Linked DNA regions of Notamacropus eugenii. The protein of the gene in region 2 binds, or shares a complex with, the protein of the main gene of each other region. Links are inferred from orthologs where the notes say so. Each region holds a gene or a part of one and is shown on either strand. Other genes may lie near its edges.

Evidence for each region.
Region 1: the proteins of CALCRL (region 2) and RAMP3 are in contact, whole or in part, in a cryo-EM structure (PDB 6UVA), measured with the Homo sapiens proteins. The link is inferred for Notamacropus eugenii from reciprocal best matches to the Homo sapiens genes CALCRL and RAMP3. Residues at the interface, in NP_001258680.1 of Homo sapiens: Arg38, Asn39, Met42, Thr43, Gln45, Tyr46, Glu47, Tyr49, Gln50, Met53, Trp69, Asp70, Ser117, Arg119, Thr120, Phe228, Leu231, Ile235, His238, Thr239, Val243, Val245, Lys249, Gln250, His251, Trp254, Tyr255, Phe257, Leu258, Phe262; in NP_005847.1 of Homo sapiens: Trp56, Cys57, Leu59, Phe62, Ile63, Tyr66, Glu67, Thr70, Cys82, Tyr83, Pro85, Asn86, Pro87, Leu88, Gln90, Ile93, Thr94, His97, Arg98, Cys104, Thr105, Val106, Asp107, Arg108, His110, Leu111, Glu112, Asp113, Pro114, Val118.
Region 3: the proteins of CALCRL (region 2) and ADM2 are in contact, whole or in part, in a cryo-EM structure (PDB 6UVA), measured with the Homo sapiens proteins. The link is inferred for Notamacropus eugenii from reciprocal best matches to the Homo sapiens genes CALCRL and ADM2. Residues at the interface, in NP_001258680.1 of Homo sapiens: Val36, Thr37, Lys40, Asp70, Gly71, Trp72, Asp90, Tyr91, Phe92, Gln93, Asp94, Phe95, Asp96, Pro97, Ser98, His114, Ala116, Ser117, Thr120, Trp121, Thr122, Tyr124, Thr125, Asn128, Thr131, Lys134, Val135, Ala138, Leu139, Leu141; in NP_001240774.1 of Homo sapiens: Leu106, Arg107, Val108, Gly109, Cys110, Val111, Leu112, Gly113, Thr114, Cys115, Gln116, Val117, Gln118, Asn119, Leu120, Ser121, His122, Arg123, Leu124, Trp125, Gln126, Leu127, Met128, Gly129, Pro130, Ala131, Gly132, Arg133, Gln134, Asp135.
Region 4: the proteins of CALCRL (region 2) and ADM are in contact, whole or in part, in a cryo-EM structure (PDB 6UUS), measured with the Homo sapiens proteins. The link is inferred for Notamacropus eugenii from reciprocal best matches to the Homo sapiens genes CALCRL and ADM. Residues at the interface, in NP_001258680.1 of Homo sapiens: Val36, Thr37, Asp70, Gly71, Trp72, Asp90, Tyr91, Phe92, Gln93, Asp94, Phe95, Asp96, Pro97, His114, Ser117, Thr120, Trp121, Thr122, Tyr124, Thr125, Asn128, Val135, Ala138, Leu139, Leu141, Phe142, Thr145, Thr191, Leu195, Ala199; in NP_001115.1 of Homo sapiens: Cys110, Arg111, Phe112, Gly113, Thr114, Cys115, Thr116, Val117, Gln118, Lys119, Leu120, Ala121, His122, Gln123, Ile124, Tyr125, Gln126, Phe127, Thr128, Asp129, Lys130, Asp131, Lys132, Asp133, Asn134, Ala136, Pro137, Lys140, Ser142, Pro143.

The regions. Positions count from the first base shown.
Region 1 is NC_092872.1:430,854-438,314, reverse strand, and holds the start of RAMP3 (receptor activity-modifying protein 3), read left to right. Parts: upstream 1-4,461; 5' UTR 4,462-4,597; coding exon 4,598-4,709; intron 4,710-7,461. UniProt on the Homo sapiens protein: Accessory protein that interacts with and modulates the function of G-protein coupled receptors including calcitonin gene-related peptide type 1 receptor (CALCRL), calcitonin receptor (CALCR) and G-protein coupled estrogen receptor 1 (GPER1).
Region 2 is NC_092876.1:253,854,219-253,862,159, forward strand, and holds the start of CALCRL (calcitonin gene-related peptide type 1 receptor), read right to left. Parts: upstream 3,011-7,941; 5' UTR 2,619-3,010; intron 1-2,618. UniProt on the Homo sapiens protein: G protein-coupled receptor which specificity is determined by its interaction with receptor-activity-modifying proteins (RAMPs). Together with RAMP1, form the receptor complex for calcitonin-gene-related peptides CALCA/CGRP1 and CALCB/CGRP2.
Region 3 is NC_092874.1:303,814,728-303,821,617, forward strand, and holds the start of ADM2 (protein ADM2), read right to left. Parts: upstream 3,002-6,890; 5' UTR 2,722-3,001; intron 2,529-2,721; 5' UTR 2,485-2,528; coding exon 2,375-2,484; intron 525-2,374; coding exon 155-524; 3' UTR 1-154. UniProt on the Homo sapiens protein: Intermedin/ADM2 is a peptide hormone that plays a role as physiological regulator of gastrointestinal and cardiovascular bioactivities mediated by the CALCRL-RAMPs receptor complexes.
Region 4 is NC_092877.1:35,155,816-35,162,893, forward strand, and holds ADM (pro-adrenomedullin), read right to left. Parts: upstream 3,009-7,078; 5' UTR 2,858-3,008; intron 2,200-2,857; 5' UTR 2,179-2,199; coding exon 2,081-2,178; intron 1,897-2,080; coding exon 1,747-1,896; intron 1,497-1,746; coding exon 1,199-1,496; 3' UTR 237-1,198; downstream 1-236. UniProt on the Homo sapiens protein: Adrenomedullin/ADM and proadrenomedullin N-20 terminal peptide/PAMP are peptide hormones that act as potent hypotensive and vasodilatator agents. Numerous actions have been reported most related to the physiologic control of fluid and electrolyte homeostasis.

The DNA.
Region 1 (7,461 bases), on a different chromosome or scaffold from region 2:
GGCCTACAACAGATCCTCTGTCCTTATCATATGGTTTGAAATAAATCAACCAATATTTATTTAGCACCTACTATGTGTGTTATGAGATATAGCTTTGTAATGGTTTGAGTTGGAAGGATGTGGGTTCAAATTTCAACTCTGACACAAGTTAATGTATGATATTCAACTGAGCCTTTGATGATGCTCTAAAACTGATGCTCTGGTTCTTATCTGCTTCTATAGAATGAGTATTTGTGGATAGAATCACAGGTCTAAACATTGTGGGAGAGTAAAACCCCTTCTCTTCCCTTCCTACTTCTTTGTATGTCTCCCATTTTGTACTCTGGGCTTTGGCCTAACTGGGCAACTTACAGAGGGCTTTGAAAGTTTGCCTTCAGGGGCAGGGAGCAATAGGAAGTATGGGTATCCAGAAATAACTACAGTTACGTCATTCCATAGGTGTATTCGTACCAAGGTATTTATATTCATGATCTGTTTGTATGTGTTATATGGGGGAAGCATCTGATTTTTGGACTTGGTCATTTTATTTTAGTTTATTGGGAACTGCAGCTTGGGTGAACTGACTGAAGAGTTTAAAAATCACTTAATGATTTCTAGATTAATGGACCTCCCAGCTGTCATAATACGGATGTGGTGCTAGCTCTGTTGTCTTGCAGTGGGCTGCTTTCACTTGGAATAATAAATTTGTTGTATAACATGAAACTATACAGTCTACCAATGCTGGGGATGATGCCTACATTTGGTATCTGGAATATTTGGTATGATTTATTGTAATTCAGTGAGAGGACCAAATTAATATCACCTCAAGTTTCAACTGTATTAATTCTACAATGAAATTGATTTTATGCTGTATTGATTTTTATAATTAAATCTATATCTGCCTAGCGCTCCCTTTTTATGTCCTTGAATTGAGCTCAGGAATTCAGTTGTCCCTCTGAGTTAGTTTGAAATTATAATTAAAAGAAAAGTTGTTGTCTCTCATACCAGTTTATTTCCAGGACATCTATTTGCTGTCTTGAAGTTCCACAAATTAACTTGGTGCCATCCCCAAAAGATATGTCATCAGTCCTTGCCTGGCCTTGTGCAATTAGGGGAGTTTTTATCTCTTTCAAGGAGACAGCAAGTCTAGTAGATCCCCTCACAAAGATTACAAGATGGAGATTGGTCCTGTAAAGCAATCTTCATTGTTGCTGTTCATTTCTTTTATGTCTGACACTTTCAGATGCCATTGACAAAGATACTGGAAAGGTATGCTATTTTTATCCAGCTCATTTTACACATGATGAAACTGAGGTAAATAGGGTTAAGTGACTTGTTCAGGGTCACGTAGTAAATGTCTGAGGTTGAATTTTAACTCAGGTCTGCCTGACTCCAGCCCTGGTACTCTATCTGTTGCATCACATAGCTGCCCTTCATTATCAGAAAAGGGGTGACTAGCCACACTTGAATACCAACCCTCTTTTCTTAGTATAGCCAATAGTAATGTTCTACAACTACCAAGACCTTTTCTTTGTTGTATGTCAATAAAAAGGTACCTTCCTCACTGGGATCCCTGGCTTTACTGAGGTTTACTGACCTGCTTTGTTAACAGATATGCACATCACTGCTAATAAACTGATTTTGCTAGGAGTTGTGTACCTCAGCTTGCCTTTCTTGATTTTATTTGCCACATCCACATTACATATTGTAGAAGTGGTGATCATATTCAGTAGCTCCCAGTTTTAAAATGGCCTTATAATGGTACAGTAAATTTGACAAGAGATTTGCTGTTGACCTCCAGAACCACTCTTCATGTCTCATGAACTTCCTTAGATGGAGAGAGCTCATCAGTTAAATTTTTTTTGGAGGAGGAACAATCCTTTGAAATACAATTTTAAAATTTACTTAAGTTGAAAGGTACAAATGATCTTGACTCCTTTGTTATATCAGTCTCTTTTCTCTCAGAAGGAAGGAAAATGAAAATAAATCTTAAATATGGGGAGAAAAAAAAGTAAGGTCATATCTTTCAGGATTAGATAGTGGCATAAAGCTATCACCAGTGTCAGTACTCTTTATTAAGTGTTAACCACATTAGGAATTGCAGAAAACTCCAGATAGAATCTTTGTGGTTCTGATGAAAATGACATTATGTATTACATTTGTACATTAAAATGGTAGCCTGATTTACCAGGAAGAGGGACCAACTTGGAGCCAGAAAACTTGGGCTCAAATTCTCCCCTGGTCACTGACCAGGGATCATGAGCAATTCACTTCTCAGAGCCTCAGTTTCCTCATATATATGGCTACTAGTACTTGTAGCAATGTCTTATAAATGCTATCTAACATTACTATTATCACAACTTAAAGAACATAAGAAAAGCGTTTAAAGGTTTGGGAATTGGCAGCCCTCTTTGGACAGCCCTTCCGCTGATATCTCCTCTTTCTATTTAGATTCATGTCAAGGTAACTGGGTGGTGCAGCGGTACCCTGGTGTCCTCCAGGAATAGCTGTTCTTGTTTTTATGGAGAGGCCAAGAGAAATCAGAGTAGTGTTAGCAGTGCCCCTGGAGAGAAGGGAGAAGAGGCTGCTTAATGCACCCTAAGCACTGGTGCTTGAAGAGAGAAAAAGGTGTGTGTGTGTGTGTGTGTGTGTGTGCGCGTGTGTGCGTGTGCGTGTGTGTGTGTGTGCGTGTGCATGTGTCCCCATATCCCCTAAGACCTCTGAATGAAGGTGTTTGGAGAGTCTTGCCAAGGAAAGGAATGAAGACAGGACAATTAACTATACACAGGCACACGTGGTGCTGATGCACAAAGAAAGCAAAGGACACACACACATACAGCACACACACAACTCTCTCTCTCTCTCTCTCTCTCTCTCTCTCACACACACACACACACACACACACACACACACACCCCTCTCCTCTCCCGTCACAGATTTTTTCCTCTCTCTGTCCCTCCTTGCTCCAGCAGTCCTGCCTCTCAGTGGTTCCGGCCCATAACTCCCCTGGAGGATCCCAGAATAGCCACTACATCCTTTTCATCCTTCAACCCCAGCGAAGAGGACCTGCCGTGGGGGGAGGGTACAACCTCCCCCTCCACCCCCCCCCCCCAAAGTAGAACCAGGACAGTTCCAGCGGTTGGGCGCTGAGGGGCGGTCTGCCTCTGCTTGGGAGGTTAGGTCGGCTCTCCTCCGGCTCCTGCGCCCGGACTGGGAGAGCAGACGAACGGAGCCAGGGGAGCACGAGTTGCGGAGCAAAGAGCCGGGCTGCCGGGCGCTGCCGCAGCTGCTCTCCTCTCTTGGCCGCCTCGGACTCCCCCTGAACCCCGGCTCCTCCTTGGATCCTCCCCTCCACGCCCCTCTTGTGGGAGCCTCGCTCGGAGGGTTCCCCGGAGCAAGCTCGATGGAGCCGCGAGCTCGGCGGCTGCTGCGACTTCTCCTGGTGCTGCTCTGGGGTAAGCAGGGACAAGGGCGTCGGGGAGGGACAAAGGGGCCGGGAGCCGATCGGGCCGAGGGCTCTGACCGTGGCTCCGAGCAAGGTTTCTCGGTGCAGGGAGCCCGCGCCGCCTCCCGCTGGATCCTCTAAGTTTTTCCTGTGAAGTCTTGTCTGCCCGCCAGGAACTGTGTGCCTGGGAAGCCTCGCCCTCCCTCCTTCTGCCCTGCCCTGCCCAGCCCGGGTACAGCGTGGGCTTGAGCCTCTGGGAACGAGAAAGGAGCTGTCCCTGCTGTCCACCCGCGGAACTTGGGCGCGTGGTGCGGCTGGTCAGCAGGACTGCGAAGGGGATCCGGGGGTGGGGCATTCCACTGAGCACCTCTCTCCCTCTCCCTCTCTCCCCCTCCCTCTCCCTCTCCCCCTCCCTCTCCCCCTCCCCCTCCCCCTCCCTCTCCCTCTCTCTCTCTCTCTCTCTCTCTCTCTCTGTCTCTCTCTGTCTCTCTCTGTCTCTGTCTCTGTCTGTCTGTCTGTCTCTGTCTCTCTCTGTCTGTCTGTCTCTGTCTCTCTCTGTCTGTCTGTCTCTGTCTGTCTCTCTGTCTCTGTCTCTCTCTCTGTCTATCTCTCTGTCTGTCTGTCTCTGTCTCTGTCTCTCTCCCCTCTTCCACCTTCTCTTCCCCCTCCCCAGCCCCCCGCCCCAGTCCCTGGCTAAGGAGTCAGAGGAGTACAAGAGCTGGGTTCTTGGCTGGAGGTGGGGTCTCATTGTCCCAGGCGGGGAAGGGGAAGTGGATTTGGGGCCGGGCAGTGGTGGTCTGGGAATTCTCTGGCCAGAAACATGGTATACCTGGGAGGCGGCTGGACTGTAGCCGAGAAGAGGGACCTGTGTTTTAGGATGCAGCGTTGGGTGCATTGCTTTCCTGTTTCATTTGTCTGCTGGATCTTTACTTTTTTGGGGGGATGGGGTAGATGGGGGAAGGAGGTAGGCTGAGAAGGGGAACTGGGAAGATACATGGACTGAGAACGGGTCTGATAAAATTCCAACATCACCTAGAGATGCGCTTCAGTCAAGTCAGTAGGCTTGGGTTAGAGTCCGAACTTTGTTACTGACTACCTGTGTGACCTTGAGCAAGTCATTTCGCTTCTCTCGATATCTTTTTCCTCATCTCTAAAAAGACGAGGTTGCTGCGGATGGTCTCTAGGGTCCCTTTCAGCGTCGAGAATGGCTCACCTATGAAAACCAGAGAGGATTTTATATATTTTTCCGCCTGTGAAGATGGGGGCAGAGGCGGCGGTGGCTACAGTGAGTGCCCAGAGGAAAAGGAATATTAAGAGTTGTGGGAAGGCTGATCTTTGAGGCAAACTGTTCTTCACCCTTTCATGGCTTTTCAGTAACTGGGATAACCGAGGCACAAGAGGCACCTGTTCTAACGGGTCCTAGGGGCCAGGAGTTTCTTCTCTCCCCGAACCCCCTCTCCCCGATCTCTCCTCTTCCCCCTCCTTCCTTCACCTCTCTCCCTCAACTCTCACCCCTCCCCCCCCCCCCCCCCGCCCCCACTGGGGTTTTGGACTAGGCTGCGGCTTGGGCTCATTCTTTTTTTCCCCCGGCTAAGGAGTGAGATCTCATATCTAACACTGCAGTTTTTGTGGCAGGGACTGTCTTGTTTAAATGTTGTACCTCTAGCTTCCCCTCCCTCTCCCTCTATCCTCTGCTTACTAGTACAGTGTTCTGTGTACAGAGGCCATGATGAATATTTGTTGAATTGAATTGTGTTGGATTCCCTAGATTGAAAATGGAAGACATGGAGGAAAAAGGAGATGAGAATTAGGCGCTGCGGCAAGGGTTTAATTGGGATCTCTCAGAACTGAACTGATTGTGTGAGAAAACCTATTTGTCACAGTTGCGTATTAGTAGGTTTTTGTTGCTATTGATCTTTTTTGGTGGAGAGGAGCTGGTGGTGGTGCTGTGAATTGGATCAGAAACCCTCACTGAGGAAGAATAAGGCCAGAAATCTGTAAAAGTAAAAATACACGTCTAAGGTGATATGGAAGGAAGGATCCGTTATCCCCTAGAGTGGTTCCTCACTCTGTCCTGTCCTCCCCCAATCCAACTGTTTTTTTCTTATTTCTGTATCTGAAGCTTTCTTGGTAAGGTGATGGCATGACTTCCATTCAGTTTGCACAGGCTTGGCCGTAAATTGATACCATTAGATGTCTTGTAGGTTAACGCATTTTTTTTTTTTTAATGATAACATTAAAATGTTTTAACTACCCAAAAGAAGTTATACTAGAGTTTTGATTTCATATGTCCTTTAACCATAAGGAACCTAGAAATGTTTTTGGTGTTTGTGATGTGCTTTATTTTGAGTGTTAAAAGTGGTGTGGTAAGGATAGTTTGTATAGACATGTTTTTAAGCTGGCTTTGGGTGTGCATGGGTGTGTGAATTTTGTGTGTACCTGCCTCTTTGGCTTGAGGGCTAGATGGAAAGTGAAGGAAAGGAAACTTCCACTCCCTGGTTTTAAGGGAATAGCTCACAGCAGAAGAGCTCAGTTTTGTGCTTTTACTGTTACAATTCCCACATTCTCCACTAACCATTCAAAGGAGGTATCAGCTTCTCTTTGGATCCTGAAAGTGGTTATTTTGGTAAGTTACCTTCACGGATCTGGAGTTACAAAGTGTGCACCCCACCCTCCACGTGTGCTGATTGCATCATTAACTCTAATGCTTGCCTAGTCCAGATCTTTTACTTTAGCACAGGGAAGCTGAAACTGGAGCACATACTGATGCTGGAAAACTAGAAAAGGCTTATTCCATTGAATGTGATTTACTAATTGATCTCTCTGCCCCCATTAGGATGCATTAATAAAAGGAATGCTTTTGGTTTTCAAGCAGTTTGTTGTTCCCTCTTCCCACCTCTTTATTATTTTTCTTGGGCAATTCCCAGAGATTAACAGTAAGCTATGGCAGCTAGGTGGCACAGAGTGCCAGGCCTGAAGTTAGGAAGGCTCATCTTTATGAGTTCAAATCTGACCTCAGACACTTACTAGTTGTATGACCTTGGGCAGATCACTTAACCCCATTTGCCCCACTTTCCTCATCTGTAAAATGAGTTGAAGAAGGAAATGGCAAACCACTCTAGGATCTTTGCCAGAAAAACCCCAAGTGGGGTCACAGAGAGTTAGGATGTGACTGAAAAAATGACTGAGCTACAACAGCAAACAATGTGCTATCTCACTCTGTGGATTTGTAGCAGTTGAGGAGTGAGTATCTTGCCCAATATCCTTAGGTAAAATGAATATTAAGGAGCAGTGCCATAGGACGAGTGTTGTACAATTAGGTGAGTGACTGGGTGCGTGACATTTTAGTGCAGTTTCCCAGCTTGGTTACAACGTTAATGTAAAGTGACTTGATTGAGACAGCTTTGTGGGGATATTCTTGTAGTTTTTCACAACAATTTATTTAGGGTAACTTATAATATTGAAAATAGAATTTGCTTGTTTTTCAACTATTTTAGTAGGATTATTTCAGCAGAATGTAAACTCCTTGAGGTCAGGGACTATTTTTCTTCTTTGTCCTTGTGTTCCTAATACTTGGTATGGTGCCTTGGACATAATAAATGCTAATTTGCATGGTTTGTATTTCAATTGCAGGATTCTTAGAGCTGGAAGAGACTTGAAAAGTGATTTAGTTCAGTTCTGTTATTTTATAGATGAGCTAACTGGGACCAAAAAGTGACTTACCCAAGTCATACTGCTAAATTTTGGCAGAGCTGATGCTGGAACCCAGACCTGTTGGCTCCTACTTCATGCTCTGCCGATGATATCCCTACCTCCTTCTTCCATGGTGATCATCCTTCCTTATTTATTTTTATTTCTGCACATCTCACTTTACATCTATTTTTTTCCATTTATTGCTTGCCTGACACTGTAGTCTGGAAGTCATTGTTTAAAACAAAAGAAGTGAATGTAACACACACCAATTTATTTTTAGGGTCTGTATGTGCTTTTTTCAGCTTTTAGCAGCAAAGAGCATTCGTATTTTTAATGTATTTCAT
Region 2 (7,941 bases):
ACACAACTTTGAATAATATTATTCTAGAACTTTTGGTAACCTTTAATATACCTTAACAAAAGCTGAGGAAGCTTCTGTTGGGAAAATTGCAAAGTGAATATGCTCTAAAAATGTCTATATTGGGACCAGAAATTTGGGCTAGTGAAATAAAGGATGTTTTTTGAAATTATGGATTAGAGTTTACATGCTTACAATTCAGTTTTATATCGTTTTCTGTAACTCCAAAACTAATTCAAGTTAATAGATATAAAATAATGTACTTTTTATCTTCTGCATTTTACTTAGCATCACTATTTCTTATCAGGATAGTGCAGTTGAGAAATAGAATAAACAAATCCCAGCATTTTCACAAGTCAAGAAATATATTGGAAAATGAAGGAAAAGTTGAGCAATTATCTCAGTAATACATTTTTATTTAATAGTTTAAATATTTTAGGTGAGAGGTTTGGCTTAAACCATCCATATCATTGCACTGCCTAAATTTTCCATTTTATTGTACATGTGTAAACCTAGCTTAGGCATACATGATGACTCCACGCAGTCAATGCGGGAGATAGCATGAGGAAGAAATATATTTAAGAAAGTAAAATAATTACCTCAGTATCATAATCATACATAGATTTATGCAAGTTATTGATTTTTAAAGGAAACAATTTTAGAGCAGTGTGTGTGTGTGTGTATGTATGTGTGTATGTGTGTGTATGTGTGTGTAAGCAAAAGCATATGTGTGTGGTCCAAGTTATTTTAATTCTTGCTTCAATCTTTAGCTCTAGAAGATCAGTATTGCTTGGTTCTTTTTGTATGGTTATTTTAAGAGATCAAATTTATGTCATTTCAATTTATAGATATTTAGTGAAAATAATATTGGATACTTTTCCCCCTCCCAACAATTAATTAGGTATTTGTCACTTTTTAATCCATGTCTTCACTCTTTGTTGTTATAATGTGAAATATTTTGTTAAACACAATTTCCCAAAGAGAGGGATATAATCTTTAAGTATCATTAGATATAGATTTTTTATGATCTATTCTAAGCAAAATCAAAACTGAAATATGTATGATTTCAACTAGGTCCTTCCTAATTCCCATGCCAGACTTTAAGAGGCTTTCAAAAGTAACCTAGAATCTCCCTCTCCTGCCATTTTTAAAAAATTTGTATACCTCTCATGGTCAAAGGATCTATGAATAAGTAATATATAAATTAAGAGCAAGAAAATCATGTAGCTGTACTCTTGTGAAAAGTTATTTAGAAGCATCTGTGGTATTGAATGTCCAAGGCAAAACTGCCAGGGAATTATACCGGATGACAAAGTAGTCCCTTGTAATATGGTAAAATTATGGGTGATTAAGTCCAGGATGCCCATAACGGAAGCAAAAAGAAAAAAAAGAGGCATAATGTCATTGAAATCAAAACCCGTTTTGATCAGTAGTGGCATCTTTAACATCAATCAAGCACAACTTTGATATCTAATTTCCTGAAAATAAATAATAATATTTAACAATCAATGAATTCTCTTTACTTACAAATTATGTGAATATCAAATTGTTGAATTCATTAGGATGATTTGTCTTGTCTGAACAATCATTAATTCACTCAGAAAATTAATTATCACCATAACCAGTAGTGAATATGGACCTTGTAGTTATTCTGTTTGTACTTATGTAAATTCTTATTAATCAATAGTACCTCCCTTTTATGTGTGTGTACATATATATGTATTTTTTTCTTTTTCTGAATATGCCCATGCCTCCATTTCTCTCAACCCCTCCCAAAACACATGCACAGAGAAACAAGTAAGTCAGCAGACTATAAGAAGCACAATAGGAAGAAATACTGTATTTGCTATGAATTAACTTTAAAAATAAAATAGTACATAACTTCAGAGCTTAAAGTATATTCCCTCCTGGCCCTTTTTCCAATCTTTCAATGACTTTCCACCAAGAATCCCACTTTATAATCTACTCTAATGCAAACATTTGGAGTCTTATGAAGGGATAGCTTGAAAACACACGAAAATGAATTGATGATATTAGAATTGGTTAAGAAGATGTATGTGAGTTGAGGTAAACTGCAAGTACAAACAAATGTGCTCAATGGAAAGCTAGTGTTTTGGCCCTTAATTGCCTGTTCAATAACAGTGCCAGTGAGAGGAGATCTCAGGACTAGAGAGCTAATGGAGTTTTTCATTTATCCTTCCTCTTTCCTAAAAGTCCCAATTGTACTGAGAGAGTTTAGAGACCTTTTTTTTTCCTGAAACAATTGCTTTAATATTTTCCAGCTGGCAAGAATAAAGCTTGTTTTTAAATATTTGGACTATAAGAAAATATAGCATTACCCATAGCTAGTTTTGGAGATCTATTCCCAGAAGAGCTCCTTTCAAGTCATTCAACTTTTATTTCTTGCTCCCCCCAAAATCTGGAATACTAGTCTAAATGACAGGAGTAATTAACAAGATTTCTACTTTTGCTGTCGCACTCTATAGCTTATCTAACATACACAAATCAATGAGAATGTTTCCAGCTTCTCCCAATGCCAGTAACTAAAGCCCATGAAACAATCTCAAGTCAAATGACAGTTATCATTTACAATTCTTAGATATGCTTTAATGTGTACTCACCCAGCGCAGTTCCTAAGGAATTTTTTGTAAAATAGTCTTGGATGCAATTTGATTTTTCTGAGATTCTGCAGAAGAGATTCTCCCCCTCAGGCAAGGTGGGGAAACAGCAAAAGACTTGCAATTTGATCCTGCAGTCTGGGTGTAATCCAGTTATCAGAGCCTGGTGATCTTAATGGAAGGGGTTCCACAGCTCTACTGTGGTGAGAGGGCTTGTTCTGAGTAGGATTGGAAGTGTTGTCAGATTGTAAGTGATCTGCAGCAGAAGGGAAACATCAGAGCTTCCTGTTACATCACTCTGACCCCGCCTGCATTTAGTGTTAGATTACTTTCTTGTTCAAATAGCACACCCCAGGAAAGCTGTGCTCCTCTCTTCTCAGGCAGGAGCAAGAAGCAGCCTGAGCAGAAACAGTTCCTAAAGTCATGAATCCATTGTTACCAGCAAAGACCGGCTGGCTTGCATCTTCTCTGTGTTCTGTTAGGACTTGTCAAGCAGATACATCAGAGCCTTGAGTGAAGTTGATCTGAAAATAATACTGTATTGAAAGGAGCTGAATTAGGCACGTGGGTTTGGGGTGCCTATCCATATGAATGCTCACCATGGGAAATACAACACTTTAAAGAGTTTCCAGAAAGGCGAGAAAATAAACCAGTCTTAACTTAGATTTAACTCCGAAGTGAACAATGAGAAAGATTAGCTGCATTCCTCTATGCTAATTCTGTAATCTGACTCCAGCCCATATGAATTCTGATAATACATGCATGTCCCAGACCATGCTTTATAGAGAGAGCCAGAGAAATTTTGCCTTTATGATCTTCCCTTTGAAACACTTTATATTTATGACTAGTTTAAAAGGAACTAGTTTTAAATAATTTAGAGGAAGGATAGTTTGCAAATAGTACACTGTCATTCTCCAAACTCCAGACTGAATTTATCAGTCAGTTAACAAGCAGTTACTGAGTACTCACAGGTGCCAGGGCAGTTCCCTAACCGCATGGGGTATACCCAAATGACAGGCTCAGCTCCTGACCTCATGGATCTTTGTGTCAAAGGATTACAGATGGCTTACATTTGCCACAGTCCAAGCCTACATGGAAATCTTTAGCTAGAGAAAATGTGAAGGTAGGCCTAGGGAATCTGGGGCTGAAATCTATGCTTATCAGTAGCTCTATGTTTGAATTAATATATCATCACCTCCCAAAAATAACAATAAATAAAAATGGCATGTTGTTTAAACTTACAACTACATAAATCAGAACAAAATGAAAAGAGGGCAAGTAGTAGAGAACTTTTATTTCTTTCTCTCTCTTTCTTACTTTTTGTTTATACGACTTTATATCAAACATGCTGGGGAAGAGTGAAAAAGTCAATCAATCATCCAAGGTATTTCCGATTGATTTGACTAAGAGTTTTGTAGCCAGAATTTTCATTTTCATTGAAGTAGCTGGCATTATATGAATTCAGCCCAAACCTGATTATGGGTACTTAGTTTCTAAATGTTGGTAACTGTATACATGTAAATATTTGATTAATATATGAAATGTAGTGACTTGAAAAAAAAATGAAAAAACTTCAGTGGGAAAAGATCCATTCTCACAAAGTATCTAATTCATTAGACCACCATTTTCTTAATTAGTACATTCTACAATACAACAGCATACCAATAGCTTTTTAAATATATTTTAAAATTAAAATATCTAATTTTGCCTAAACAAAATATTGCTTTGATTTGAATCCAGCATTTCCAACATTTGATTCAATTATCTAGAATTTTCTTAAGTGTATTTTTAAAAAGCTTTATCAAAAAGTAAAACAATTTTCCCAGATATTTTGCAAACATTGAAAAGTTCGAGAAAAAAAAATGTGGCTATAAATGGAAAATATGTTAAATCTGTGAGTCAGAACATTCATGTCATTGTAATTACTGGAACTTGAAAATGACTTGAACTTACTGAGCCTTAGTTTTTCTCTTTTCATTTCATAGTCTTTATAAAATAAAAGTGATTGAACTAGAGGATTTCTAAAGGTCCTATTCCATGAATTGAGTTAAGTTCAAAGATGAATAACAGGCCATTTTAAGATGTGGAGTGGTAGATTTGTCCTAATGTAATTTGAGATGGGAAGAACTGAGGGCTAGGTGAGCTTTCCAAGATAAGGGACAATTCAAGAGTTTTAAATGCCATGTGTCTTAGATAGATGGCATCCTGTGAAACATCAGTCACTGCACATAAATCATGAAGAACTGAATTGCTAAAAGATGCCCAGGAATCTATATACAAGGAACTGAAATGGATCTTGTGCAGTGTCAACAGTAACTCCAACTCTTATGATCTTTTGACCCAAGTTGATTTACACATATGCATGTATAAACATAGTTCATCTTAATGGAGCTAAATATATAAAAGGAAGTACATGTAAGAAGCTGGGCATACAATGATCCCTAAAAATTACAAGTCATGGAAGAGATAACTATTAGAAACTGAATTACAACAGTTTTGAGCACTGAAAAATAGCATATATTCTAAAGGGGAGCTTTTAGAGTGTGGTATTTAGGAACAAATGGTTACTTCTGCTGTTCTCCATTTGTCTGTTAGGGGACAACCACAGCAAGCAAAGCAAGTTCTCATGAAAGCAGCCTTTCAATCTCTAGGGGAAAGAGGATATAGTTACAGACTCCACAGAGAGTGGAGAGTGTTGGTTAGACTTTATACACAGAATTGGGAAGAATTTTCGATTAAGATAAAAAAAACATGGGATCTAAAGATATGGGTTCTCATTCCAGTTTCCACTGATGAAATTATGTAACTTCTCATGGCTTCCTATTCTTCAGTTTATAAAAGAGGCAATTGGACTAAATGATATCAAAGGTTTCTTCTGGCTTTGACATCCTTTGCATCCATGGGTTGGGCAATTGAATAAAAGTAACATTTCTTCAGGACATGAAAAAGGAAAGAAATAATGGAAAGATGTCATTTAAAAAATCTTCTTTTGGGGTGGGAAGACACTTTACAGTTTACAAAATTCTTTTACAAACAAAAGTCTCATTTGATTCAAACAAAGTGCCTATGAGGTTGGTAGGGATTATCATCTCCATTTTAGTGATATGGAAAATGGTCTTCAAGGAGGTAAAGTAACATGCTTTTATTGAGAAACTAAGAGTGGAACACTCATTGAAACCTCAATCTTCTTGTGGCTTTTTCCTCTACACCCAAGAAAGTGCTAGTAAAGATTGAATAACTGGATCTGCAGGAAAACACACACACACACACACACACACACACACACACATATACAGTCATGCCCACACACACCTCACTCTTTTAAGTTTCTAGAAGGGATAGAAAACAAACCAGTGCCTAACTCAAATATTACCGGGAAGTGAAGAAAGATTAGCTGCATTCCTCTCTGCTAATTCTGTAATTCAACTCCAACTCCATATGAATTCTGATAATACATTCATACCCTAGATCATGATTTCTAAATAGAGTCAGAGAAATTTTGCCTTTACAGTCTTCCCTTTGAAACGTGTTATATACTGTATTACTAGTTTACAAAGTAGTTTTAAATACTTTATGCTGCATTTATTATAATTTTCTTTCTGACTTTCTTAAGTGTAGGCAATCCACAAAACAGTAAATCATGCTTGATTTACAGTGTTTGCTGAATGCAAACACTCACACTGAAAATTTAACAATTGGCTCTTGCAAGCCAGTATGAGTTGGTTCCAGAACAACCCTGCCTCTATCATATATGTAGTTCTCTAATAGTAAAATCCTAAGGAGTTTTCTAGTTTAGTTTTCTATTTATTGGTAAGAACCTACAATCATAAAGTTGACTAATAGAATTTTGAGATGAAATGACATTTCCTTCAGATTCATGAAGAGTTTTCTAAATGTCATCTATAAGTTTGCTGGATGTCAAAAAGTGAATCTAATAACCAGGTTCTTGCACACTTTCCACAATTAGCAACAAAACAGCATTGTCTGTGACACAGTTCTGCTAAGGAGTCACATGTAGATTACAACCAGATATCTGATTTGGAGCTATAAAATGATTTCAACAAAATGGGTAAAAGAAATTCTTTTAAGCACAAACTGAGCCCAAGGTACAAACTGTGAAGTGAAGAAAAAGTGGAGTGGAAGATATCATCCAGAGATGGGATGATTCCTGGAAGAGGAAAAGCAACTAACTAGTCATGGCTGATAATGTAGTTGCCAACAGTGCAAGTAACAATTAGAACTGCAAACCTAGTAATAGGAACTCACATTTGTAGAGCATTAGGAAATTTACAAAGTACTTTTCCTACAACCACTTTGAAAGATGGATAACACGAGACAGGTACAGTGGATAGAGCACACTGGACTCAGAGTCAGGAAGACCTGTATTCATTCAAATCCTGTCTCAGGAAGTTAATAGATCAATGACCTCAGTCCTGTCATTCAATCTCCCTCTGCCTCAGTGTTCCCATCTGCAAAGTATATATACTGGCACCTACTTCATAGGAGTTTTGTGAAGAGCAAATGAAATAACATATGCAAAGCATTTTACAAACTTTGAAAATGTTATATAAATGCTAGCTATTTTTTTATTATACCCATGTTGCCTATGAAGAAATTTAAGTTCAGAAAGATTAACTTGTGTGGGGTCATATAACTAGTTTATTTCAGCACTAAACCCTGAAACTGAGCTTCCAGACTGTAAGCCCAGCACCCTTTTTAATTATGGTGTAGTTTCTTCAATCAGATATGTTTAATAATAATAGTACTTTAAGGTTTAAGAATTTCTTCATTTTTTAATCTCATGGCATCCTCACAACAACTTATGAGGTACATAACATTATTATTTCCATGTTACAAATGAGGAAATTGAAGCTGAAAGGGGTTAAATGACATATGGAGTCATGTATATACAGGCGTACATATATGTGTACATGTGATTTTAGAGAAATATATGTATGTTTCATGTAGAATATATGGACAATCATGTATGAGTTCTTTCAGATGTGCATACTCATGTAGATATCTATCTGTTATACACAAAAGCAGCTTTCTATTCAGATGAGAGTGATGATTCTTATGTAAAGAGCCTAACTATACGCAGTAGCTTTCTCTGCCACAAATTCTCACAGTGGTAAGCATCTTAAAATATGGACAACAATACAAAATTGCATTCTCAGAGAAAGAATGATATGGTACTAGTAATGTGACACAGGTAGATTACTTATTTCAAGAATGTTTGTAAGAAATTACCCTAGATTTCTCTTTGACTAGTGCCTAGAGTTATGTGGGGTTGGACTCAAGAACAGTACTTTGTGTGAAATATTTT
Region 3 (6,890 bases), on a different chromosome or scaffold from region 2:
CAGTATTAACGACTATCCCCTTTGGATGCATGAGGAAGCTTAGCCTCAGAGGAAAGTCACTTGGCCAGGGTCCCAGATATGGGAGATCCCAGACATAGGGGTCCCTGTGGTGAGCTCTGGGGTCTTGATGGGGCTGTAGGGGCAGGGTTGATGCTCAGCCATAACTGTGGGGACTCTTGGGGTTCATAGGGGCTGAGTCCTGCCTCCCTGACTGTCCCATGAGCTGCCTCAGGCGATGGCTGAGGTTCTGCACCTGGCAGGTGCTCAGTACACAGCCCACTCTCAAGAGCTGGGCGTGGTGACGCCTGGTGTGCCTGCGACCCCTGCCACTGCCCCTGCTCTTGCCCCTGCCCCTGCGGCCCTGCAGCCTTCCGTGGCGATGGCGATGATGGGGTGGGTGTCGAGGGCGGTACCCCCCGAGGGGCTCCAGGTGGGGCCCTGGCTGGCCCACAAGAGCCACTGGCCCCACATTCATCACAGCCTGGTATTCGAGGTCTTGGGGGGATAGCCGGTCTGGGGGTTCCCTGCAGAGGAAACACAGGGAAGAGTGAACCTGAGCCCCCAACCCCCTCACACTGCCAGACATAAATGGGGACTACCTGCTGGGATGCCCTCTGGCCCTGGGGACACTGCCGGGAAAAGACCACAGCCCCTGGAAACCCATCCTGGACACCAGTCATCAGGGTCACATGGTCCATTAACCCTCATCTACCCTGGGCAAAGGGCAACTCCCAGGCCTCTGTGGGTCACTGCTCCCTGGAATGTGGCTGATGGCGGTAATGACCCCACCCAGTCCTGAGTGCTGGGCAGCTGCCACCTGAACAGGGGGAGAAGCCAAACCCAGCTTCAGTCTTCCTCACACTCACCTGAATCTGCAGCCTCAGGGTTTACTTCCTCCTCCCTTGGGCTCAGGGCCCATGACATCCCCCCCATCTCTGGGCCTGTGTCTCCATCTCAGCTGATCCTGTCTTCTCTGGACTCAGGGCCCATGACCTCCTCTGTGCAGACTGCCGCCCTCTTTTGCGACCTCCATATCAGAGGCAGCATTGGTCCAGAGGAAAGAGAGCCAACCTTGCAGTCAGAGGACCTAAGATCAAGCCCTAGCTCTGACCCCTTGCTAGTTTTGTGACCCTGCTGCCTCTCTCTGGGCCTCAGTTTCCTTCCCTGTAAAACAGGGAAACTAATTCTTAGGGGGGTCCTTTGCAGGGTTATTATGAGAATCATGCTTTGTAAATCTCAAGGCAGATTTCTCTTGCCCCTTCCTCCCCGTTCAGTCAGAAAGTTGGGGGGGGGGGGCGTGAAGGGTGGATTGGACTTAGGCCCTTGGCCCCAGGGGGAGTGGGGCCTGGGGAGATTCCATATAGCCCCAGATCTCCAGACTCAAATAGTCTGACCCTGGTTTAGCTGGCAGCAATTTTGGAGGGGTTTCCTGGATGGGAGGGTTACTCTCCTTCAGAAGTGGGGGCAGTGTGCTACCATGCAAAGGTCTGGAGCAAGTCAGGGGACATGGGTTCAAATTCTGTCTCTGATGCTCACTGTTTGCGTGAGCTGGGGCAAGTCAGTTCATCTCCCCGGACCTCTGAGGTTCCCTTTAGCTTTAGGTGGCTAGAGGTAGCTGGGCAGGGCAGTGAGTAGAACACTGGACCTTCAATCAGGAAGCCATGAATTCAAATCCTGACTCATACACTTACTGATTGTGTGACCCTGAGCAAGTCACTTAACCTCTGTCTGCCTCAGTTTTCCCCTCTATAAAATGGAATTAATATCATCTCCCTTCCAGGAGGGTAATGAAGCCCAAATGCGGCCTCTTAAAGCTGGCCATTATTACGATTCCCTTAGGCTCCCTTCTGGTGATGCTGGCCTGTGCAAGGCCACTTCCCAATTCCTGGTCCCCAACTCCCAATCCTAGCGGTCAACTCCTTCTCCCACCTGGACTGAGCCCAGGCATATCTGAGCGAAGAGACCACGGCTCCCCCTGGTGGACTGACCAGTCATTAACCCCTTTTGTGCTGCGGGAGAGAGAGCCCCATTCCTAAGCTGGCCCCTCCCTGCTCCGCCCCCAGCCCCCAAAGCTCTGGGTGGGGGATCGGAGGTCCACGGGTCAGAGTGGGCCTAGCTCTGAGTGAGTGAAGGGGCTCTGAACTAGGTTCTGGGATCTGGACCCCTGGAGGTGATCTGGGACCCTGAAGGAGGAGAGAAGTGGTGGAGATGAGGGTAGGGTCCTCGTCTCCGGAGTCGGGCTGTTGTAGAAGTCAGAGGGCTGGGTCTGGACTGGGCGGGGGTGGATGGGTGGGGGGCAGTTTTCGTACGAGAAGAGATGACTGGTGACCGAGGGGGCGGACCCTGAGACCCGAGGGGGCCACGTCGCACTCACCTGGGCCGAGCCAACAGCGGGTGAGGTCCCGGGCGCCGGGACAGCGTGCCCGGGAGCAGGAGGCTCAGGAGGCTGATGCAACCGAGGGTGACGGGTAGGAGCCAGCCCATGGCAGGCTGGGGCTGCGCGGGGCTCCCGCGGTCCGGGACTAGGGCTGGAGGGATGAAGGCTGCCAATGAACCCCTAGGCGCGTCCCTGGGGGCCCCCAGGCTCTTACACAGACCTGGAGGCCCCGGGGCTCCTGCCCCCTCGGACCTTCCCACCTCCTGGCCCGGGCCTGCTTCCACCAGACCCCCTCCCCCCCGCCTCCGCCCAAGTTCTCGGGACCTTTCCCCTCCGCCCCCCACCTAATGCGGGCGCTCAGTGAGTTCTCCTGTCTGTCCGCACGAGGTCCCGTCGGTCCTTCTCAGTCTGTCCGTCCCGCGGTGAATGCGGGTGAGTGGGGCAGCAGGTGGAGAGATTCAGGCCCAGAGATTCAGGGGTCGGGTTCGCTCGGGGGCTTCTGGTGGACGTCGGCGCAGTTACCGTCCGCGGTCTGGACGCCAGCCGGCTAGCCGCTGTCCGTGGCTGGCCACCGTCTGTCAGCTGGCCGCGGTACGGTCAGTCCTGAGCTGGGCTGGTGGAGCCGGGCAGAGCTAGCTTCTTCTCAGGTTAAATATTCCCCTTCGGGCCGGGGCGGGGCTGGCCAGCTCTCCACCCCTTGGCCCTCCCCGCCCCCACAGCTCTTCTGGCCCCAGTGGCTAGGGGCCTGAATCTCCTCCCCAACTCCGGTCCTGAGCTAGGGGCTCAAGGGTGGGGAAGGTAGCCAGAGCCCGCGTCTCCCTTAGGTTCTGGCCACTGGCAGGGCCATCGGGGGGACTAGCTGGTTATAGACAGCCCCAAACACACCAGGCTCTTTCTTGGCTCTGACTATGCAGTCTGTAGTTCAGGGCAAGAGGGTGGACTTCGAGCCACAAGATCTGAGTTCAAATGTGACCTCCTACACTCCTGGAGAAACATGTCCTGTCTCCCCTTTTTGCCTCAGTTTCCCAGTTATGATCTCCAAAGGTAACTTTCCACTGGAAATTCTATAATTCCCTCTGCTCCTCCCTAGAATTTTTCATATAGTACCAGCTCCTTCCTCAAATAGCCTCCCTCAGGACCTGGAAGAAGAAAGCTGCCTTGACTGCCCCAGCCCCCAGTCACTAGGGACTAACTGAATCCTCCTCATCCCATTCAGAACCAGGCTGTTCTTGTCATGGTAAACAGGGGGCCACCTGGGGCTGGAATGTTTCCATGTTGCCCAATATCGGGGCTTGAGGGAGGGGGTAAGGTACTTGGACTGGACAGGACCCTTACCAGAACAAAGGGTTAAGCTAAATCACTGTTTGGGATGGTCGGAGTCCTTGTAGGACCTCTCAGACTTCCCGTCTGAGCACCAGGAATCCCATTCCTTGCTGGGAAGCCCCTGGAGATTGGCCAGACTCCCATTTGGGGGTAATGGAGGGAGCCACAGGCATGGCTGTGAGGTCTTGTGGCTGGGCTACTATCCCTTGTTTGTGCGTCCACTGAGGGCCCACAGCTACCCTGATTGGAAGACCTAGGGATTCAGGGGCACACCTAGAGGTGCTGGAGGAGGCTGGGAGTAGAGGCTGGAGGGGCAGGGTTGGGGACTTGGGGAATCGGAGGGAAATGGAATTGGAGGAAAATGGGAAGCAGAGAGCTTGAGTTGTTGGAGATTCAGAGGAGCAGAGCTTGGGGTTCCGGGAGCCAGGACTGAGGGGGATTAGATCTAGGGGGCCACAGGTTGGAGTTGGGGGAGGCAGGATTGAAGATTTAGGTTAGGTCTAAGGAGTCTGGTCACTGACATGTTGGACGTGCTCTGTCTGGCATATGGACCTCTCAGGTGCACAGGAAGAGGTCTAGCTTGGAGCTTGGCTTGAAGGGTTAGTGTTCCAGAGTGAGGACACTGCCTAGTGTCCCTGCTGTGGTCAGGGCTACCCACTGTGGTCACCCTATGAGGGCCAAGGCACACCTAACCCTCCATCCTTCCTTCCCTCCCTCTCTCTCTCCCTCCCTCCTCCTGCCTGAGGAACGTGCCCTGAGACACGAAGGGGAGGCTCCCAGCCGGGCACTGCCCCACTCTGCCTCCACACGCCCAGTCCTGCTCCCAAAGCAACAGGGGGGAGGGGGAGGAGAGACTGAGCCCGAGGTGCAATTCTAGTCTGGGGAGCTGTGGGCACAGTTAGGTCACCTGTGGACCCAGTGTCCCACCATATCCCCACTTACCTCCAGTGCAAAGGAGTGCCTTTTGGCTCCAGGAGTCCTCTGCCATCTGTCTGTCTGTCTTAAGCTGGTGGCTCCCATAGGCCATAGCCTAACAGTCAGTCAGTCAGCGATGATGGAGAGCACCCATCAGGAGAGGAGATAGAGGCCAAGGGAAGCCCTGGGTTTCAACAGGAAACAGCTCCTGGGGGTCCTAGGAATGGTCAGAGGGGGAGTTCTGGCCTGGGAAGGAGACAGCACCTGTTTGAGGGAGGCAATGTGGCCGTGAGGAAACTCCCATAAAGAGAGAAAGCAATCAAGTGGACTCCCTAATCTGAGGGACCCCAGACTTGCCCTCAGGGATCTCCCAAGTTTGAAGGAGGACACAACCTCCTTCAGGTGGCTACAAATAGACTCCAGAAATCCGAGTTACTAGATTGGAGAGCCCCAGGATAGCTGTGACACTTCCAGTGTCCTCTCCTGTAAAGGACTTCACTGTGTGTCTGCCTACCCATCCTCCACAGCAGAGGAAAGACAGATGCTGCCAGGCCTTGCCCCTAGCCCTGGAAGCAGAAGGCTTAGCCTTGAGATCATCCTGGGTACTTCTGGTCCACACCTTTCCATAGGTCCTCCAGAGAAGACCCAAACCAACCTTTATGAAGAATGATCACATTTTAAAAGTAGGCAACCAGCTACAACACATGGTCACTGAGTGCCTGCTACGTGTAAGACTTGCTCTGGGAGCCAAGGACACAAAGATGAGACTGTAATGGCTTTGCACTTGAGGAGCTCACCACAAGGAAATGATCGGTTGTGGCATAAGGCAGCCAGTCCTAAACAATGGGAGGAAGGGCAGTCACCAGCCTGGGATGGTGCCCTGGAGGATTTTCCAGAAGGTGAACAGGGCATTACCTGGTACCCAGCTGGACGTAATCAGCAGGGGACAGTGGGTCCATTGTCACCATCTTCGTCATTGTCATAATCAGTAACACTAGATACTGACATGTATTATACACTAACTTTACTACAACTATGTACTATACAACATATGTATACTATAATATATAATAAATGGTATATATAACTATATACTGTTACTGTAGGCCAAGTATATTACTATATACTAACCAGCTACTAAGTATATTACTATATGTTATATTCTAAGTAGTTATTTAGTATCTGTTAATTACTAGGTACTTACTATGGACTATATTACTATACTGTATACTAATACTATAACCGTAACACTCAACATGGTTAATACAGAAATATATTTTACATGACTTACATGTATAATCTATTTCAAGCTGCTTCCCTTCTGAAAGGGAGAGGGGAAGAAATTGAAACTCAAAATTTTTAAAAATGAATGTTAAAAAAATTTTACATGTAATTGGGAGATATTTAATAAAATAAATTTAAAAAATTTTTAATTAACAAAAATAATAATAACACTCAAATTATCCCCGAATAGATGAAGACTGTCCAGCCTGTGAGAGGTGGTTGGACCACAGCCAGCTGACTTTGTTCTCCACAATCTATAGAGATAGCTAGATGGCGCCACAGTGGAGAGATCACTGGGCCTGGAGTCAGGGAGACCTGAGTGCCAATCTGACCTCAGACACTTACTAGATCTGTGACCTTGGGCAAGTCACTTAACCCCTATCTGCCTCAGTTTCCTCAGCTGCAAAATAGGGATTATACTTCACAGTTGTGAGGATCAAACAAGACAATGTTTGTAAAGTACTCTGTGAACATTAAAGAGCTATGATGATGATAAGGTAGCAGCTTGAAATCCATAACAGCACTTCTCAGTTTCCCAAATGCCATCCAGCCCACCCTCTCTTCCAACCTGATTCTAGACCCACCTCATTGTTCAGCTGTGTATCTGCTTTATTTGACCTCACAGTTTAGGTTAGAACAAAGATCCAAGTTTGAGGATTGACAGAAAAATTGGTACTTGCTAGAACAAGCATGGACTTTATTACTCTGCAACAAAGCAAGCAAGCCTCCCCCTCCCTCCCCCCACCCTGTTCCCAAAGACATAAATGTGCTTGACTGAGAATGGGTAATCGATGCAGCTCCTTAGCTAACCCAAATTCTTGGGGTCCTTGGTTATTAACTCAAACACTTCTCCAGTTTCTGGTCCTGAGTAGGAAAACTCTCCATCCCAAGTCTGATAGTGATAAATGAGTGACTTGGAGAATTTCCCCTCCATACCTGAGTCTGAAGAGAAATGAACCCTCCCATATATAGCACCAATTACCTGTCCTCA
Region 4 (7,078 bases), on a different chromosome or scaffold from region 2:
ATCCTATAAGTCATTATGATTTCTGGGTTGGGAAAAATGAGGCTTTTGGGGCAGCGTGTCACTTGACCCCGCAATAGTTCAGGGCCAAACCCCGAGAAAGCCAAGGAGTGTACCAGGAAAAAATATTTCTAACTAGTCAACGGAAGGGGGAGTTGGGAAGAGGATCTCTAAACCCTCCACTACCACCCATTAGAGTCCAGTTCTCTTCAAAGATAATTGAGTCCAGAACCACGTAGTCAGTATTGTAACTGTTTATTAGCTTTGCCAGTTTCCTTATCACCACCCCCTTTAAGAAAATATAATATACAGTGACGAGGAATTTTCTTTTTCCACCAGGACAGAATGCCATACACTCACACTTTCTCTCTCAACACACTCACTCATCTCATACACACCCCCAATATGACTGTGAGAGGGTTATACCAGGCTGAGATCAATCTGTGACATTCTCATATTAAAATTAAGACAAGGGGAGGGAGATACACACTATTTTAAAATGCCCTTATACAATACAATACAATATATAACGTACAAAAATAACTCTGAATTTACAAAAAAAAAAAAACCTGACAGCAAGATAAATATCAGATAGTTACCTCTCTATTAAAATGCATTTTTAAAAGCCCCATTGCACTTTTCCTCTATTATGAAAAGATCAAGTAGTTCCGAGACCCCGGCCCGACCGCGGGGAGAAGCCGGCAGACGCAGTGTGGGCCTCTTCGCTAAGTCCAACTTTCCCAGATCTTCGTCCTTCACACGTAAGTCCCGGGCATCTTTCCCCCCGCCCTAGCCTTCTCTGAATGATTCCTCAGGGGACCCTAGGCCCGGCCTGGGTCTCTGCAGCTTGGATGCGGACTGGGGTCCGAGTGAAGCAAAGGGCGTGAAGGCAAAATGCGACCGCGGTCAGTCCCCACTTGGAGAGGATCCATTCCTCCCCAAAGAGAGGGATGAGGGAGACTGCGGGAGCTCCTCTAGTGGACTTTATGCCTCCTGCGTCCGAGTTCTCCATCGCACAGAACTGGCCCCCTCCCCGCTCGCACCGAGGCCGGCCGGCCGGCGCCCATTGGGTGCAGTGCTTTGGTTTCGCCGCGGCTCCCGCCCCCTACGTCCAGAGGAAGGCGGCCCCTCGAAGTGGCGCCGGGCGCAATCGGCTCGCAACGCAGGTTGGCTCGCTGAGCGGCCCGAGGCGCGGCTGCCGCTATTGCTGCCGTAGCCGTCTGAGGGAGGAGGAGGACAAAGAGAAGGAGGAGAGTGTCCGGGCAGACGAGCCCTCGGCGAGCGAGCGCCGACGCCGACGCCCGTAGCCCTGGGGGCTGATTTTGTTGGGGGGCGCCGAATTGTCCTTATCTTTGTCCGTGAGCTGATAGATCTGGTGCGCCAGGTTTTGCAGGGTGCACGTCCCAAAACGGCAGCCAATGCGTAGGCTCTGGAAGTGAGGGAAACTGTTCATGCTCTGGCGGTATCGCTTGACGCGTATGCGGGCTGCGTCCGGACTGCTGCGGGACAGGAGGGACAGAGAGGAGTTAGACAACCCGTAGAGTCCCTAAGATCTGGATGAGTTAGACCGGAATCTTAGCCTAACTAGGGGAGCCTCGGAGAGGAACAGGGACTCTATGTTGCTCCGTCGAGGCACCTTTTCTTAGCCCAAGCCCTTCCTCAGCTCTGGACCCGAGTTGGGGCCACGGAGGCGGGGAGTAGCACCTTCGGAGATGAAAGGGATTCCCCAAGCGGGACCCACAAACTTACCTGGGCTGTGGACTGCGGGAAGCACCCTTCACGTCCTGGGGCCGAATAAATGTCTGGACAGGACCAGCCTTCACTTCGGCTGGGCTAGCGAGGGGATTGCCCGGCACACGCAATTCCCTCTTTCCTCTGCTCAGAGCCCATTTGTTCCATCTGGAAAGTAACCAACAGCCACACCATTAGCACCATATGCAACGAATCGCAGAGCCCTCTCCCACTGGTGAGTGGTAGCATCAACACCGTACCCTTTTCTCCCGTACCCTGAATTAACGGAGGATTCCTCGCTCCGGAGTGTCTGAACCCAACTACTTGGCTAGAGAACATGGTCGGAACTTACTTTTTTCTGAACTCTGAAGCCAAATCTAGTCGTGCAGTGTCCGCCCCCAGGAAGGCGAAGGAGCCCAGGTAAATTAGGGCCACTGGCACCAGCTGCATTCCGGCGGCGATCCGGTCACCCTGGATGAAAGAGAGAACCGAAAAAGTCAGTGTCTGACTCTGCTCCTGGCTTCGGCTCTAGCCCCTTCCCTCACCCCCCCAGCAGCTCTAGCTCAGCTCCAGCTGGCTGAGCGCCGCAGACCAGTGGCCCCAGAACCGTCCTAACCTAGTCCCCGCTTTTGTTTGCTCAATCGCTTATCGCGCCAGGGCAGATAAGCCGCCTGCAGGCTTTGCATCCGTCAGCCGTCTGAACTGACAGGCCGAGTGGGGGGGGGGGGGGGGTTCCCTCACCCCACCCGGCAGCACTCCCTAAATTCTGAGCTTAGGACTCACTTTGAAACTTTTCTAGGAGCTTATTCTTAACAGATAGAAGAGGAAGACGTTCTCTTGGGAGGGATCCCGAGCTAAGAGTAGCCTCCGGAGCTCATTCGCAGGGCATGCCTCACTTGGACTAGGCGAAGATTCAGTCACCCCTCCCCTCTCTTTACCCCCCCCCCCCTCCCCGCTCTCCCGCCCAGATCTCGGCTCCAGCAGCCTCAGCAGGGTTGTCGGAAAGCAAGCACAGGGAAAGTCGGTGCAGGGACCTGAGTTTTCTGATCAGTGACTTTGGAGATCACTAAAGCCCATTCCCTCTACCCAACCTCCACTGCCACCACTCCAAGCTCGAAGGCCCCCTTACCTGCTGCTGAAGGTAATCAATCCAATGAGAGAGTCAAAGATCCCCACCCTCGGCGACAGAAGTTCTATTAAGAGTCGGAGATAAGAGGCGAAGAGAAGGCGCAGGAGCAGCAGGAAGTCTTTAGGTCCCCAGTTAAACCTCTGAAGTGTCCTGCGCTTGCCTCCTACTTTTATAGGAGCTCAGCGGGGCGGGGCTTGCTGGGGGTTCCACAGCGGACGCCGCTGGCGCTGCTGCTGCTGTTAGTGCAATCATTTTCCTCTCTTCCTTCTGCGCCCTGCGTCGAAGGCGCCAACACGCATACGTTTCCTGCCTCAGGGCCCCCCAGTGTAAGGCGAACCCTGGGTTAGGGTACCGTGGGCAGCAAGGGGACGTTCACCCAGAGCGTCCACAGCACCCAGGCTGTAACAATTATCATGGATGGCTGCGGAGCTTAAGCGTGCCCACTCTCTCCCCACCAAATCATCTCCTCTGATGTCCCGGGGAGATCCTAGCTTCCAGCCAAGGCGACTGGGCTAGTCCACAGGAGTCGAGGGTTCAAGGTCACTGGGACTCTTCTTGGGTCTCACTTTCCTCCTCCCTGCAAGGCTCCTGCTCTAGGAAGCAGCCGTCTTGGGAAGCACTTGAATTCGGCCTCAGGCATGGTAATGAGTGGAGGGGATAGGAGTGAGGGAGGTTTCCCAGACACTGTCTAGCAAATGTCCGAGACACCAGAGTTCTGGAAAAGACCAGAGGGTTTGGCAAGGGGTGCGAGATCAGGAAAGCTTGGGTAGGGGATTTTTCTAAGGAAAGAGCTTGTTGAAATTTCAGATGTTTCACTCCGGTGTGTAAATCCAAGAGCAAGAGAACAAACTCCCTGCCTTTGTATGTGTTAAATTTGTGGTGTCATTGTTCTGCTTTTCGAACGTTTAGGAAGGAACTGGTTGGCCTCTGGCCAAGAATTCCTGACTTCTGTTGGAACTCCAAAGCCTTCCCCCCGAGGTAAGGGTGAGATGGGCAGTAAAGCAAAAAGCCCACTGCCTGGGCGAGGACCTCTCCCTGTGGACTGGGGCTGGGTCTTTGTGAGGACGCGAAGATCGTGGCCAGGGAGTTGAGTACTTTTGCAGACCACTGTAAGTCTTTATAAAACCTTTAAAGGTTGCCTAGTGATGTAATGGAAAAGAAGACCGGGCTTCAGGGCTAGCTCCGGGACTTCGCAGCCCTGTGACCTTAGGCAAGTCATTCACCTCTCGGAGTCCCTACTTTCCTCGTCAGGAAAATGGTGGTGATATTAATACTGGCATCCTCCTCTTGTCTGTGAACTCTAAAGTCTTATTTATATACTTGTGTACTCCTGATTCCTCACTTGGCTTTATTTCTGTCTTCTGCAGGTGCTTTACATAGGAGTTCCCGACTCCTCACCTCCTGTCTCTGGCTGCCTGCCCATCAGGGCTTCCGAGCCCTCTGGTTGAACAGGTGCCTCTGTGGTCCAGAGCTCCAGGAGCCCGGGCCACTCCCGACCCTTCCAGGAGAGTGGCCAGCTAGCTTGTGACAGTCGCTTTCCGGACCCGCTTTCATGTCCCTTGTTTCTAAGGTGTGAATGGAAAGGCCAGCTGGATGGAGGTTGCGTCAGAGGAATCACCTTGGAGTGAGTCATTTGTACCCGGAGCAAGATTTGCTGTGGCTGTGGAAAGGTTGGGATGTCCCCCAAATCCTGGCCCTCCCGAGCTAGCTAGGTGCAGCGGCAGCCTCTGGATGCCCGCCGCAGCTATGGTAGAGTGGCTTCCCTGGTGCACCCGAGGCGAGGGCTCTCTGGATGTCGACTCATTAACTTGGCCCAGGCTCAGAAACGCCTATGTGTGCAGGTGGGGCAAGGACAACACTCACTCTTCAAATATTTATTGACCGCCTACTATGTGTTAGGCGGACTCATCCCTTTAGCTTCTGTGTCTTTGCTCATCTTCCTCCCTTTTAAAAATATCTCTCACTTCCTTTGTCTGTATCCTTCATGCTTTCCCTCTCTCTCTGCCTCTGTGTCTCTCCTATTTCTCTTCCTCCCTCCCCACTCTCTTCTTTCTCATCACAGTGCCCAGAGCCTAGCACAATAACTGGTATGTAGACTTTAATAAACGTTTATAGAACTAATTATAGAATGTCAGAGCAGGTACACACCTTCGAAATCATCGTCTTCCCCTAGCCTCCACCTATTTTATCGAGGACACTGAAGCTGAGGCGGCAAAGGTGCCTAGCCAGGATTCGAGCCTAAGAATAGCGATTGACCCCAAATCTCTGTCAGTTCCCTGTGTATTTTCCCGCCCCTATTTTCCTCTGTTTGTCTCATTGCTCCAGAACAGGTTACTTTCATTTGTCCGCTTCCGTCGTCTCTGCTCTGTCGTCACCCTTGGGAAAGGAAACCTTTCCTTTGGGGAACTGGGTGTCTGCATATAGTGAAATCAAAGGACAACTCGACTGTCCCAGGGAGAAGGGTGGTTTTATCCCCACATTCCAAGGAAATTGCTCCTTTGCTTTGCTGGTAAGGAGTCCGTAACCCGGAGGGTTGAGCTGCCAAAAGCCCATCTCCCAACGTCACTCAGCGGTCCAGAACTCTTCACTCGCTTCCAACTCCTCCACCCAAGGGAGTGGGCGAGAGCATCGAGTTCGCCTCGACCTAGAGCAAGTGCCACAGAGGTCTGTGGCCAGAGGTGGTGTGAGCTCTCTCGCAGTTGGAACAGTCCCAGATCTAAAACGAGCTGGGTCAACCTGGGCTAGTCATTCCATCTTTTCAGGTATCAGTTTCCTCGTCAATAAAATGGGGATAAACACTGCTTGACCTGGTTGGAAGAAACTGCTTTTTAATTAGAAGGGTATAAGGATGTAAGCTATTACTCTGCCCCCAGACCCCGAGCAGGGAAGGAGTGGGAGATGGGAGTGGGGGAGAGAAGGCGGGGAATGAGATCTTTTAGGATAAATTATGCTTTTAAGTGAGAGCTTCCCCTTCCTTTCCCGCCAAGAGAGAGCCAGGCTCCAGTTGAGGCTCAGAGCAGGCACTCGCTTCCCGTCCCGCTCCCCAGCAGGGGGTCGGTCGTCCGGGAATGCCAAACAGCAAAAGTGAAACTTGGCACGCCTCTTATCAGTCCAGGTGCACTTGGCTGCTCCTGGGATGTTAGATCTGAAGCTAGGAAAACACTTCAGCCGCCCCGCCCGACCCCCTCCTGCCCCCCGTCCTCTAATTCAGATGCTTTCCTGCTCCAAAGAGAGAACCAGCTCTGCCCGGTTTGTTTGCGGGAGCTCCCGCTGCCTTCTGGAGTGAAGCACGTGTTTTCCAAAACGCTCTGGAATTTACCTTGGCAAAACAGGCGCACCATGTGGGATCTAGTCCTCTGTGGACATTCAAAGAGTTTAACCACGTCGTATCCCTCCTGTTCTAGAGAATCTATGATACACAGTTTTGTTTTGTTTTGTTTTTCTTCTGGTCACATCCCAACTGAAATATTCCTTGGTAGAATTCAGATCTTTCTTTTTCACATGTACTTGCTTTCATCCATTCAGGTTTCTCTGGCTGTAAATTCCCATTGAACAGAAAGTCTTACCTGACACTTCCCAGCGCTTGGAAAGTGGAAAGAAGCAAGAAAGAGGTAAGAAGTAAGGAAAAGTTGGAACCCAAAGAATGTTTTTCAGAGTCAGATAAGAGCCAGTCACTAGTATGTATAGATAGATAGGTAGATAGATAGGTAGATAGATAGATAGATATAGATATCTATCTATCTATAGATATACCGATATATCTATCTATCTATCTATAGATAGATAGATATACACACACACTCATCAGAGCACATTTAAGAAGAAATCCCAAGTAGATTTTCCTCCCCCACTCAGATGGGTGGGGTTGGAAAAATATTTCTATTTAAGTGATAAATTCTATGAGAGCAGAACTCTGAATTTTATCTAAATGTTATTTTTGTTTCCATTAGTGCCCACCAAAGGACTTCCTTCAACAAACAATAAATGCTTGTTGAATTGACTTACTCTAATTAGCCAAGAAAAGAGCCTTGGAGCGTAAGACCCCAAAGGCTCAACAGTACAGATGACAAATCAGTGGGGACAAGTTGCAACAAGTATGTGCATTTAATTCTTCCCACCCACCCCCCACTAAGAAGAGGGAAGAAAGGATCTAGGGGAGCTAAAAATAAGTATTAGCTTAAACCTGTTATTTCAAGCATTTCAAAAACAGTAGGTATGGAA